Linked DNA regions of Drosophila melanogaster. The protein of the gene in region 2 purifies or fractionates together with the protein of the main gene of each other region. This does not show direct contact. Each region holds a gene or a part of one and is shown on either strand. Other genes may lie near its edges.

Region 1 (3,923 bases), on a different chromosome or scaffold from region 2:
ATAAGGAGGTACTACGTCAGCGCCAGATGCTTGAGCTCAAGTCAAAGTTTTCTGCGAACAATGTGGGTATTAAAACGAACAATTTACTTCTTATATAATTCCCAAAACTTACCGTAGAGTGCCGCCGATTCGGAGCTGTTTAAGGCCAAAATGGAGGTGCAGCGCACAAACAAGGAGATAGACGACATTATTGGCAACTTCGAGCAGCGGAAGTTGCGCGACTTAAAGCAGATAATCAGCGATTTTATACTGATCGCCATGAAACAGCACACCAAGGCATTGGAGATACTCAGCGCAAGCTACTATGATATTGGAACCATTGATGAGCGCGACGATTTCATTGAGTTTCAGAAACTCATGAAGACCAAAGAAGAGCTGGCTTCCAGGAAAACTGCACTCAAAAAGGGACTGCGCTCCCAGTCGATGGATAGCTTGGAGCACGAGCACCTGGTCAGTCCGCTCAAGAGGCGCCCGAAGTTGTCCAGGAGCAATAGGAATCTGACGGGAGCCGGAATCAATCATGGAAGTAAAACAGAACCCGAAGATGAAACCGACGAGCAGGATGAAGAGGAAGATGATGAAGATGAGGTATGATTTGGCATGATTATGGAATGATAGAATAACTCCATTCCTCCCAAGGAAACCGAGCAAAGTGGCGAAGAGGACGAGGAATCTGGAACGGCAACGGATGACGAGAGGGAACCCACGCAGCCGGGCAACCAGGTTCCTCCGCGGGAGAATGTTTTTGGGGCCAAGATCCGATCTGCCAGCAAGGATATAGCCACGCCATCGACCAGTGCCAGTGCCACTTCTGCTCCTTCGAAGCCCAGCAGACAAACGGTCAAACATCCATTCAAGGCGGTGGCCTCCACCCATGTAAGGCTGCAGAAGCAGTTCCACGTGCCCCAGCACTAGCACTCAAATTATGACCAGTAGTAGAGTTCCTAGAGCTCACATCAGTATTGCAGGCACATTCTGGAATCGTAGCAAGAGCTTAAATAAAATTGAATTAGGAACATACTTCTAAGGGTTTATCTTAATTGGTTTTTGTAACCCCGCAGTCTCAGAGCTTCCTTTCATAATTTAATCAGAATGTATTACCACTCTCTATCTCATTGCCTTAAAAAACATGATATGTAGAAGCAACACAAATTGCAATTAATATTCGAAAATCATTCTGGTCCACAAATCAATGTTGATTTTCCTTTTAAAAGTAGGGATTGTTATATAGCACTCCTTGCCATTCAGCGCTGATTTCCATACACTTTTTATTAATGGACACGGGTCACGATTTGCATTATTTGTCCCAGATAAACAATACTAAATATATGCATATCATAACTAATCAAGCGGAAATGACGCGCTTCTCTTCCCCTTTTCGCAATAAACTTTCAGGTGAGGAAACACAAATCGGGAACTGGTCGCCTGGTAACCGTTGTTAAATCGAAGTCCTGAACACCCAAATAGCAGGGAATTTACAATTCTTGAATTTTTAATTTATAAATAGAAACTAAACGGCAATAATTCAAAATTATTGGCCATTGCTCACAAAAGAATTACTTTACTTAAATTATGATGTGCCCCGACCGGGCGAAACTTAAAACTAAGCAATAAATGGATGAGCAAATGTGTTCTTTTCTTCATTTCTTGGGGAGCAGCTGGGTGCGGAGGAGATTAAATGAATGTGAGAACCTGGAATTGTAAACTTGATACGGGTGACTGGGTGCCAGGTGTTCGATGTATGTATCTAATGGTATTGGGATGCACTTTCCGAATGGGCGTGGCCGTGCCAGCGCTACGGATCTCATTTCTCCGGTCCCTGACCCTCGATCCCGGCCTGGTTCATCAGATCCGCAATGCTCTTCTCCAGATCGTCGATGCGGTTGCCCATGTCATCGATGCGCGTTATTATCTGGTCCGACATCGTCTGGAACTTGTCCTGAACGTTCTGCAACAGATTTTGTACCTGATAACAGGAGGCAGGTTTACTGGGTGCTCATTTGGTGTCTCTATTTACTGGGTGGTTCCCGGTTCGGGCATTACTCACGTATATGGTCAGCTCCTGCATGTTTTTGGGGTCCGCATTGCTGTTCAGGGAGTAGTTCTGGTCCAGATCGCTGTCCATCTCGTTGCGCAGATCGGTCATTCTGTGGCTTCTTTGTGGCACTGTATAAAAGTACAAAAATGCTATCACTTCTAGCTCTTTTGCTTCTGTTTGCGGCTGCGGCTGTTTCACTTCTGCAAATTAATTTCTTTATCAAGCATAGGGGCGGACTTTGGTTCGATAGTCCTTTCGATAATCCTGGTGGTGGCAAAGTAGCTAGCTTCAAGTTTTATTTTCCAGTCATATTTAATGTCAATTTATTATTTTAATTTATTTTAATCTTTAAATAATTCAAATAAATATTAAGAACCATTTTTATTCAACATCATTTTATGGGATGTATTATTACAGAGAATATACCCAAATTGTAAATTTTGAAACTAAATTAAACTTAAATATAATTCTGTAATGTTTATTTCGTATTTCATATAAAAAACAACAAATTTGTGTATATTTTTAGTTTTAAAGCTTAATAGCTAGTAGCTTACGTTTTTCAACACTGCCCCACGTGTATTCTTTTAACTCATCCAAATGGAAGTGGACGAGGAAAAGCCGCAGGTTCTTAAAGAAAAACACATTATAAATAAACCACATTAAGCTAAGCATTACGATTGCAGATTATTGCTGAAAATCCCAACGAAAACGTGATACGCGAACGTAATGCGGAGATCGTTTCCGGCGGCAATGTGTTCTACAATCCTGTCCAGGAATTCAATCGAGATCTGAGCATTGCTGCTCTGAATGTTTATCGACAGAGATTGACCAAGGAGCGGAGCGAAAAGGCGCTCAAAAAGCAGCGGAAGAAGGTCAAGGAACAGGAGGATGAGAAGACCACTCCCGTTCCCGAGGATCCACCTGTTTATGAGGCCGGTACTCGATATGAGGATGGACTTCGGATCCTGGAGGCACTGGCAGCCACCGGTTTGCGTAGCATCCGTTACGCGCAGGAAATCGCCGGTGTACGCCAGATCGTGGCCAACGATCTTTCCCGCCAGGCAGTGGCCTCGATCAACACAAACATCCGGCACAACAAGGTGGAGGAGCTGATCGAGCCCAGTCACTCCGATGCAATGTAGGTTTATAATTAAGCTATTGGCACACGGTATAAAATGGGGCATTCCAATACATCGTACAGGACCCTCATGTATCTTTCGACGCAACCCGAGAAGCGTTTTGATGCAGTTGACTTGGATCCGTACGGATGTCCCAATCGCTTTTTGGATGGCGCTATGCAGTGCCTGGTGGACGGCGGCCTGCTGCTGGTGACAGCCACCGACATGGCCGTGCTGGCCGGAAATGCTCCGGAAGCTTGCTATGTAAAATACGGATCGGTTCCGCTGCGGATGAAGTGCTGTCACGAGATGGCATTGCGCATTTTGCTGCACTGCATCGAGAGCCACGCGAACAGGTACGGCAAGTACATCGAACCACTACTGAGCATATCAGCGGACTTTTACATCCGGATATTTGTGCGTGTGTACGTCGGCCAGGCCCAATGCAAGCTGTCGATGAGCAAGCAGTCTTGGATATACCAATGCACCGGATGTGAGACCTTCACGCTGCAGCCCTTGGGCATAACCAAGCCAAATCCCACGGCTGGTAATCCCCAGCAGCTGAAGTTCGGAATTCCCACTGGTCCGGCGGTCAACTCGCAGTGCGAACATTGCGGTCACAGGCATCATCTGGGTGGACCCATCTGGTCGGCACCGATTCATAACCCCGAATTTGTGCAGGATCTTTTAACGGCGGTCCAGGAGACCACCTTGCAATCGCTGGGAACCCAGAGACGAATCGTTGGAGTTCTTTCCATGGTCCAAGA
Region 2 (6,388 bases):
AGTGATCTGCTTTTACACCTTGTGTAATTTGCTTTGGTTTTGGTTGAATATTCGGCTTGTCAACAATATTCAGACTCTCGTAGATTTCGAATTCTTGCTTTAATTCCTTAAGAGTTTTACAACGGAGCATAGCACCCTTATACTCCTTTTTAATGTCGAGGCCGTTTACGATATGAGTTATCAAAGCAACTGTTTCAACTTCACCTAAGGCTGCTATTTTCTTCATTTGTAACAAATAGTCGTGTAGAGTTTCCTCCCTCTTCTTCTTCCTGTCTTGCAACTTTTTGTGAATAACGGCGCTATTATAGCTGCCTGAAAATTCTTCAATTAGTAACTCTTTGAGTTCAGTGTATCCACTGACACATTCAGATTCTAAGAAAAGTTCTGCTGATCCAATCATCTTACTTCTGGCTTGAACATATTTTTGTTTCTCCGAAAGTTCATATGCCTCGGCATTTTTCTCAAAAATTTCAAACCATTTTTTAATAGGAATTGATTTGCCATCACAGTCACTTACAACTTTTTCAAATTTTTCTGCAGCGATAATTACTTGCCCCTCTTGTTTAGATTTTGCCAACATGCTCTGGGTTAGAGTATTCATCATTTGTTCAAATTTCTCTTCGACTTTAGCACTAGCGTCTTTATTCTGCTTCTTTGCCTCTGCTTCTCCTACAGGCGTCAACTTTTGATCTTCTTCGTTCATTTTTTCTTTTCTGCTTTCGTCCTCGCTTTCGTTCTCTAGAATTGCTTGTATTTGGTCGGTGTTAAGTTTTTTATTTGTAGGTGGTGTGCGTGTGAACATTCCGCGACAAGGCACTAACACCAGCAAACAACGACAATGTTCTAACGGCGCGACGGTAGTCGATTTTGCAGACGGCGCCACCGGTTAAAAGACAAATTTTGATTTTCGTTAGAAACGAATTTCACCACCTTTGCAATTTAATTGTTTTAAATTCCACAACAGCAAAACGACTTGAGTCTGTATGAGTTCAATCGATTTTTTCAACTTTCAATGCAGTAGACGTAGCCATAACTTTACAACTTTAAAGACTAAATCCACGCACACGACAATTTCAACTTTATCAGTTCTCTCTAGCAGCTTTCCCGACTTTTACCGACTTGTGTTCAAACAAAATCTGTACAACTGATTTTTCCAACTTTAAATGCAATAGATATAGCCACAACTTTACAACTTTTAAAGACTATACCCACGCACACAACAATGTCTTTTTTCTTTAAACAACTGCACCTTCATATAACCGATTTAGGACTGGACGAGCCCCCATGTAAGATTGTTTATTATTATTGTTTATTATTAATTTAATTATTAGTTTAATTCTAAATGCGGTAATTATGTAAAGTATTCTTAGTTTGTGACCGAACGACTGCTGCTGAGAACTCGACTGACTGCAACGCTGACTTCCACTCGACTCCACTGCTGCCTTGCGATCGTTCCTTCGATGACTGATTGTCGATAGCTTCGATTTCCGACAATCATGTTGCTGCTCAACAGCGCTGCCAACCGGGTTGTTGCCAGCCTTCAGCCTTACTCCATGTTACATACATATATTCTTTTTGTATTCTGTAGTTTCGGGGCCGCGACCGAAAACAATAAAAATGACTAATGGCAGCTAATTTCCCGTCGTCGTCGAGAAAAGTAGGAGGATGAGGCCCAGCAAGACGGCCAATTCGGAATCGGAATTGGATGCGCCTCAAAAGTGGTTCAATTGCCAAAAGACCAAAGACAAAGGGCGAGGTACGAAATAGGAAATACAGGCGTTTCCCGGATTGGGCGTGACCTGGGCAAAAAAAATATATAAAAAAACAAGGAGGAAAAGACACCGAAAGGAAAGCAAGACTTCACCTGTCACTGCTCATTTCCCATGCACCATTTCCCATTTCCCGATGCCAGGTGCCTCGTTCCATTCACAAATTGTGATTCCACTTTGTTCATTGATCTCAAGGCTTAGCAATATATTTAATCAGTGTAAGATAAAACTAAAATATATAAAAATAATATTTGCTTACAAAACGTAGTGCTTTGTTTTTTTGAAGAAAATGTTGATGTTTTTTTTTTTGGAAATGGTTTTGGTTGGTTTTTTTAAAAGTACAGCTTATTAAGAGCGTAACTTCTTAGAAAAATATTTGCTTGAACTGGCCTATAATATATTATCCCATTTTATTATGACATTCAACATTTTTTTAGTAAGTCAAACATTTTCCCACTATTTCAACTTACCTTGTCTACAATATGCTAATTTAAAGGCAAAAGGATTATCTCATCAGAAATGAATTAAATATCATCACCAACATAGTATGTATAAAAGCCCATTAAAGTTTTTAGTAATTATTCCAAAATGTCCTCTACATTTTAGCCGATCTCATCTAATCACCTACGTTTAGCGGTAATTCCCGGCAAGGACACTTCCGAAATGGCGTTATTTATGACCACCCACATTTTATGCCCGGATGTCCTGTGGCCCACTCATTTGTTCATTCATTACATTCATTAACTTTGCGTCGAGCTTGCGCAGATAATGGCATTTTCCAAATGGCCGAATTGGAATGGAAAACAAGTTTTCCGGCCGGGGCCTTTATGCCGCCGTGCACTTTATTCAATTTACCAATAAAATTTCAATCGAATTGCTCCTTTTAATCAATTCAGCGCCACCCACACACGCGCAACACACGCATTTAAATACGCGCATGCATAATTCGTGTGTTTTTATGTTTTTTGATCAATTTTTAATCAACAACAGGCGGCAGCAACAACAACAAAATCAACAACATTATTTGCCCGCAGGCCAGGACTTTCAATGTGTGTGTGTGTGCGTGTGTGTGTGTGCGTGTGTGTGTAGCTTTGTGTGTTTTTGCCAGCTTGTAATTGTTGTTGCGGCTTGTTGATTATTCACGTAATTAAATTTGGCCAGCAATTTCGTGTATTTTGGCCAAATGCGAAATGCGTAGTTTATAGAGTGGTTTTTTGTGCATGCTTTTATTAACCAGAGCTATGTTCTATTCATTATTTTCCATTGAATATTAGTTAATATTGACATAGAAATCGAATCAATCAATGTGAATAAGCTAGTAATATCGCCTATGAATTAATCAAACTTACCCGCGTGGATGTTGTGCGTGGGTGACACTGAGTCCAACTTAATACGCTGCTCACTGTGCGGATCCATGCCAAGCTCCCGATTGAGATCCCTTTGCTGTTGCTGCTGCTGCTGCATTGCCACTGCTGCGGCGGCCACTCTGGCTTGCTGTATCAGCGCCATTTGGCGGATCATATACACGGAGGACGAATTGGTTACGGAATTGGGACTAATTTCCGGATTTGGGGCATCCATGGACAAGTTGAGAACGGATGACCAGCCGCTCACTTGCATGTTGACAGCCGCTGCTGCCGCGTAAAGTTGCAAAGCGGATGAACCATGGGGATGTTGGACTTGTCCCCGAGCAGCAGCTGCCTGTTGCAGCTGTTGTATTAGCTGATCCATTTTCGTCTTAGCTTTTGATTAGCTCCCAATTTATGCGATTAACTCGTTTGCAATGAACACACACAATTCAATGCTTTTGCTGACACTGCAAATTAAACTAGTTCATTTTCCTTTAATATTGTCACCTCACTAGCTCAATGATTTCGATAACTCAATTCAACACTGACTCGATTGTTTCTTGCTTTCTTTCTGATATTCCCTCATAGCTCTTGGTTAGCCTTACGTTAACTGCAGGATAGTGTTTACTTCGGGTTAGCGCTAACTTCGCTTTAATCAGCAGGCTCTTTTGGTTAACTTCGATTTTTTTTTTTTTTTGTTGGGACTCAATTCACAAGGCACTAAAACACACACACACCGAAAAAAAAGGCGACAATCCTGGCCGCACAGTGGAACGTAGCAAGCGAAATGTGGCGTAGCGTGCACAGTGGAGCGGATCGGCGGCCCACTGGGCAAAAGGCTGAACTCAGTGCAGCGGCGGCGACAAACAAATTGATTCGAATTAAAATTACGGCCAGCGAGTTGTGGAGTTTTGTGGAGACAATCGCGAAGTCGGTGCGAGCGGGATGGCGCGACAGGCGCGTACAAATGAAAAATATGGAGTTCGTTTCGTCTTCTTCGTGTTTGTTTAATAAAAATGCGCATATGTGTGTATGTGAGATGGGGGCACCACTACAGTCAGTGGGAAAAATGGGGAAAAAAGTGTCACCAATGTTGGTTGGTTGCTCGTGGTTTGAGTCTGTGCTAAAAAGTGAGATGGCGACACCTGCTGCTGCAGCAACAACAACAACAACAACTACTGCAGCCGCCGCAGCGGCAACAACAACAAGCTCATTTTCAACACTTGACGGTCAGCTGCCGTTGTTGTAGTTGTTGTTCTTGTTGTTTTAGGGTCGCATGCGCGCAAACTGCAAGCAAAAATCATTAACGTTCAAATTTATGTGCGCCAAAGCGAGAAATAACAAAACGAAAAGCGAAAAAAGGCAGAGAGCCCAGCGGAAGAAGAAGAAGAAGAAGAAGACGAGACTGAAGCAGCAGCAGCAGCAGCGGCGGCGTCGACGTCGACAGCGCAGCCGTGGCAATAAAAAGAAAAATGGTTTCACTTAACAAACATGCCAAGGCGCCGTCCGCAAAAACCCACCACCCACTGGAACCACCCACACCACCACCCACTTAACCCCCCCGCGGCGCACGCTTAACCCCGCGCTGGCCCACAAATGGTCAATGCAATAATGGTATTTTTCTGCCTGACTAAATTGTGCGACAGAGAGGCAAGGCGGGTAAGAGCGAGAGAGAGCGGGATAAAAGAGAAGAGAGAGCGAGCGAGAGCGTGCAATGCGCAACAGGGAAAATGAAATGAAAAACGCCAAAAAAATTGATTTAAAGTGAATCAGTGTGCGTGTGTGTGTGTGACTGTGCGAGCGTAACCCACCAAAGAGCGCGAACGAAAGAGAGCGCAATAGTCAGAGAAGCCCGAGAGTGAACACGAGTGCGGGCGAGACATACATAGTTCAGCGGCAGGCGTGGCCACAGAAAAAATAGGGGGAAATTTCATATTAATATGATTATGGCCAATTTAAGACCTGGCAAGAAGAAGACGGCTAGCGAGCAGGAAGAAGAGAAGTAGTGGCAAAGAATGGAGAAGAAAGAAGTGCATGGCTGAATCGCTGTGGGTTGTAGAAGGGGGGTGCTTTTCCCTCAAACAGAGAAGAAAGAGAGGGCAAGAGCTGCGCTGCTCCCTACGAGAGCAGAGCAAAAACTGACATTTTATTGATTGTTTTATGCGATTATAATGTAATAATGTCTTAAATATGTGGGGGAATGGTTGGGGGCGAACCGGGAACCCCCCATAAATACACCCACTTTTCCGAGGCAGTTTCAATGCGCAGCTGCCGTCTTTGGAAAATGAATTATGGCTGCAGGAAAGGGACGGAGCACGACTTTAGCCAGGGTAATGAAAGGCGAGAGCGAGCGAGAGAGGGAGATAGAGTGGGCAGGAGTGACCACCCAAAACCCCCCCACTGAACTTCCACCCGTAAGCCCCCTGAACATTTTCTGGACTCTCCTTCATCATTGCTTTGTGATTGGTAAAAAAGAAAAGGGCAAAAGGAAATTCCATTTGCAGCTTCTCCTTTTTTCGTTTTCGGTGGGCTATCGCCACATGAAGATCTATATAATAACCCACCCGCTTTCCCGAACTCAAGCTCCTCGAACCAAAACCATTACGCCGTAGCCGCACTCAACTCAATTCAATTAATTTTCACTTGATTTTTCCACACACAAACAAATTTTCATTTAATTTGCTGCGGGGCGTTGGTTGCCTGACTTTCCTCTCGCTTTTCCCCACCGCTTTTCCTCTCGCTTCTCCTCCAGCATTTTCCTCATCGCCTTATCGGACGCCATTTTCTTGCGCTTGATTTTCTATTAAGTTTTCCCGGCTCTATTCCCCGAACAACTTTTCGCCGCTAATAGGGGCACTCAGACCTCCCCCCCCCACCACGCCGCGACAACCCAATCTTTGTCTTCTTCTTCACTCAGTTAGAAGTTGTTGGAAAGTAAATTTTCTTGTGACACTTTGTTGCGATTTGATTGTTATGCTGGGCCATTATTTCCGCCTGCTTCTCCTGGAATTTCCGTAGTTTTACTTAACATAATTAATTGTCATTGGAAATTAGACGAAAGTCTCAATGCTTCGTTACTACGTGGAATAACAGAGATGAGTTTAGATTGTAATACAGATACCCGAAAATGCTAATTTCTCAGGACTAAAGAAGGTATACATAAAAAATTATTAAAATGTCATATAAATATTTAATGACATTTATGATAATTCAAAAGCAGTTAGAATTCTACAGACTGCAAACATAAATAGCTATTAAATTTTTCCAGAA

The links. Proteins that work in one complex are often made in the same cells at the same time.
Region 1: the proteins of OdsH (region 2) and CG5446 purify together in Drosophila melanogaster (affinity purification with mass spectrometry, with the first as the bait; one large-scale study listed by BioGRID). This does not show direct contact.

What each region holds. Positions count from the first base shown.
Region 1 is NT_033779.5:12,425,422-12,429,344, forward strand, and holds CG5446 (uncharacterized protein), read right to left. Parts: upstream 2,289-3,923; 5' UTR 2,147-2,288; coding exon 2,048-2,146; intron 1,967-2,047; coding exon 1,805-1,966; 3' UTR 1,210-1,804; downstream 1-1,209. Other genes in the region: Fam92, read left to right, coding at 1-62, 118-588, 640-915; Trm1 (tRNA methyltransferase 1), read left to right, coding at 2,636-2,662, 2,722-3,176, 3,240-3,923.
Region 2 is NC_004354.4:17,788,179-17,794,566, reverse strand, and holds the start of OdsH (Ods-site homeobox), read right to left. Parts: upstream 3,558-6,388; 5' UTR 3,501-3,557; coding exon 3,119-3,500; intron 1-3,118.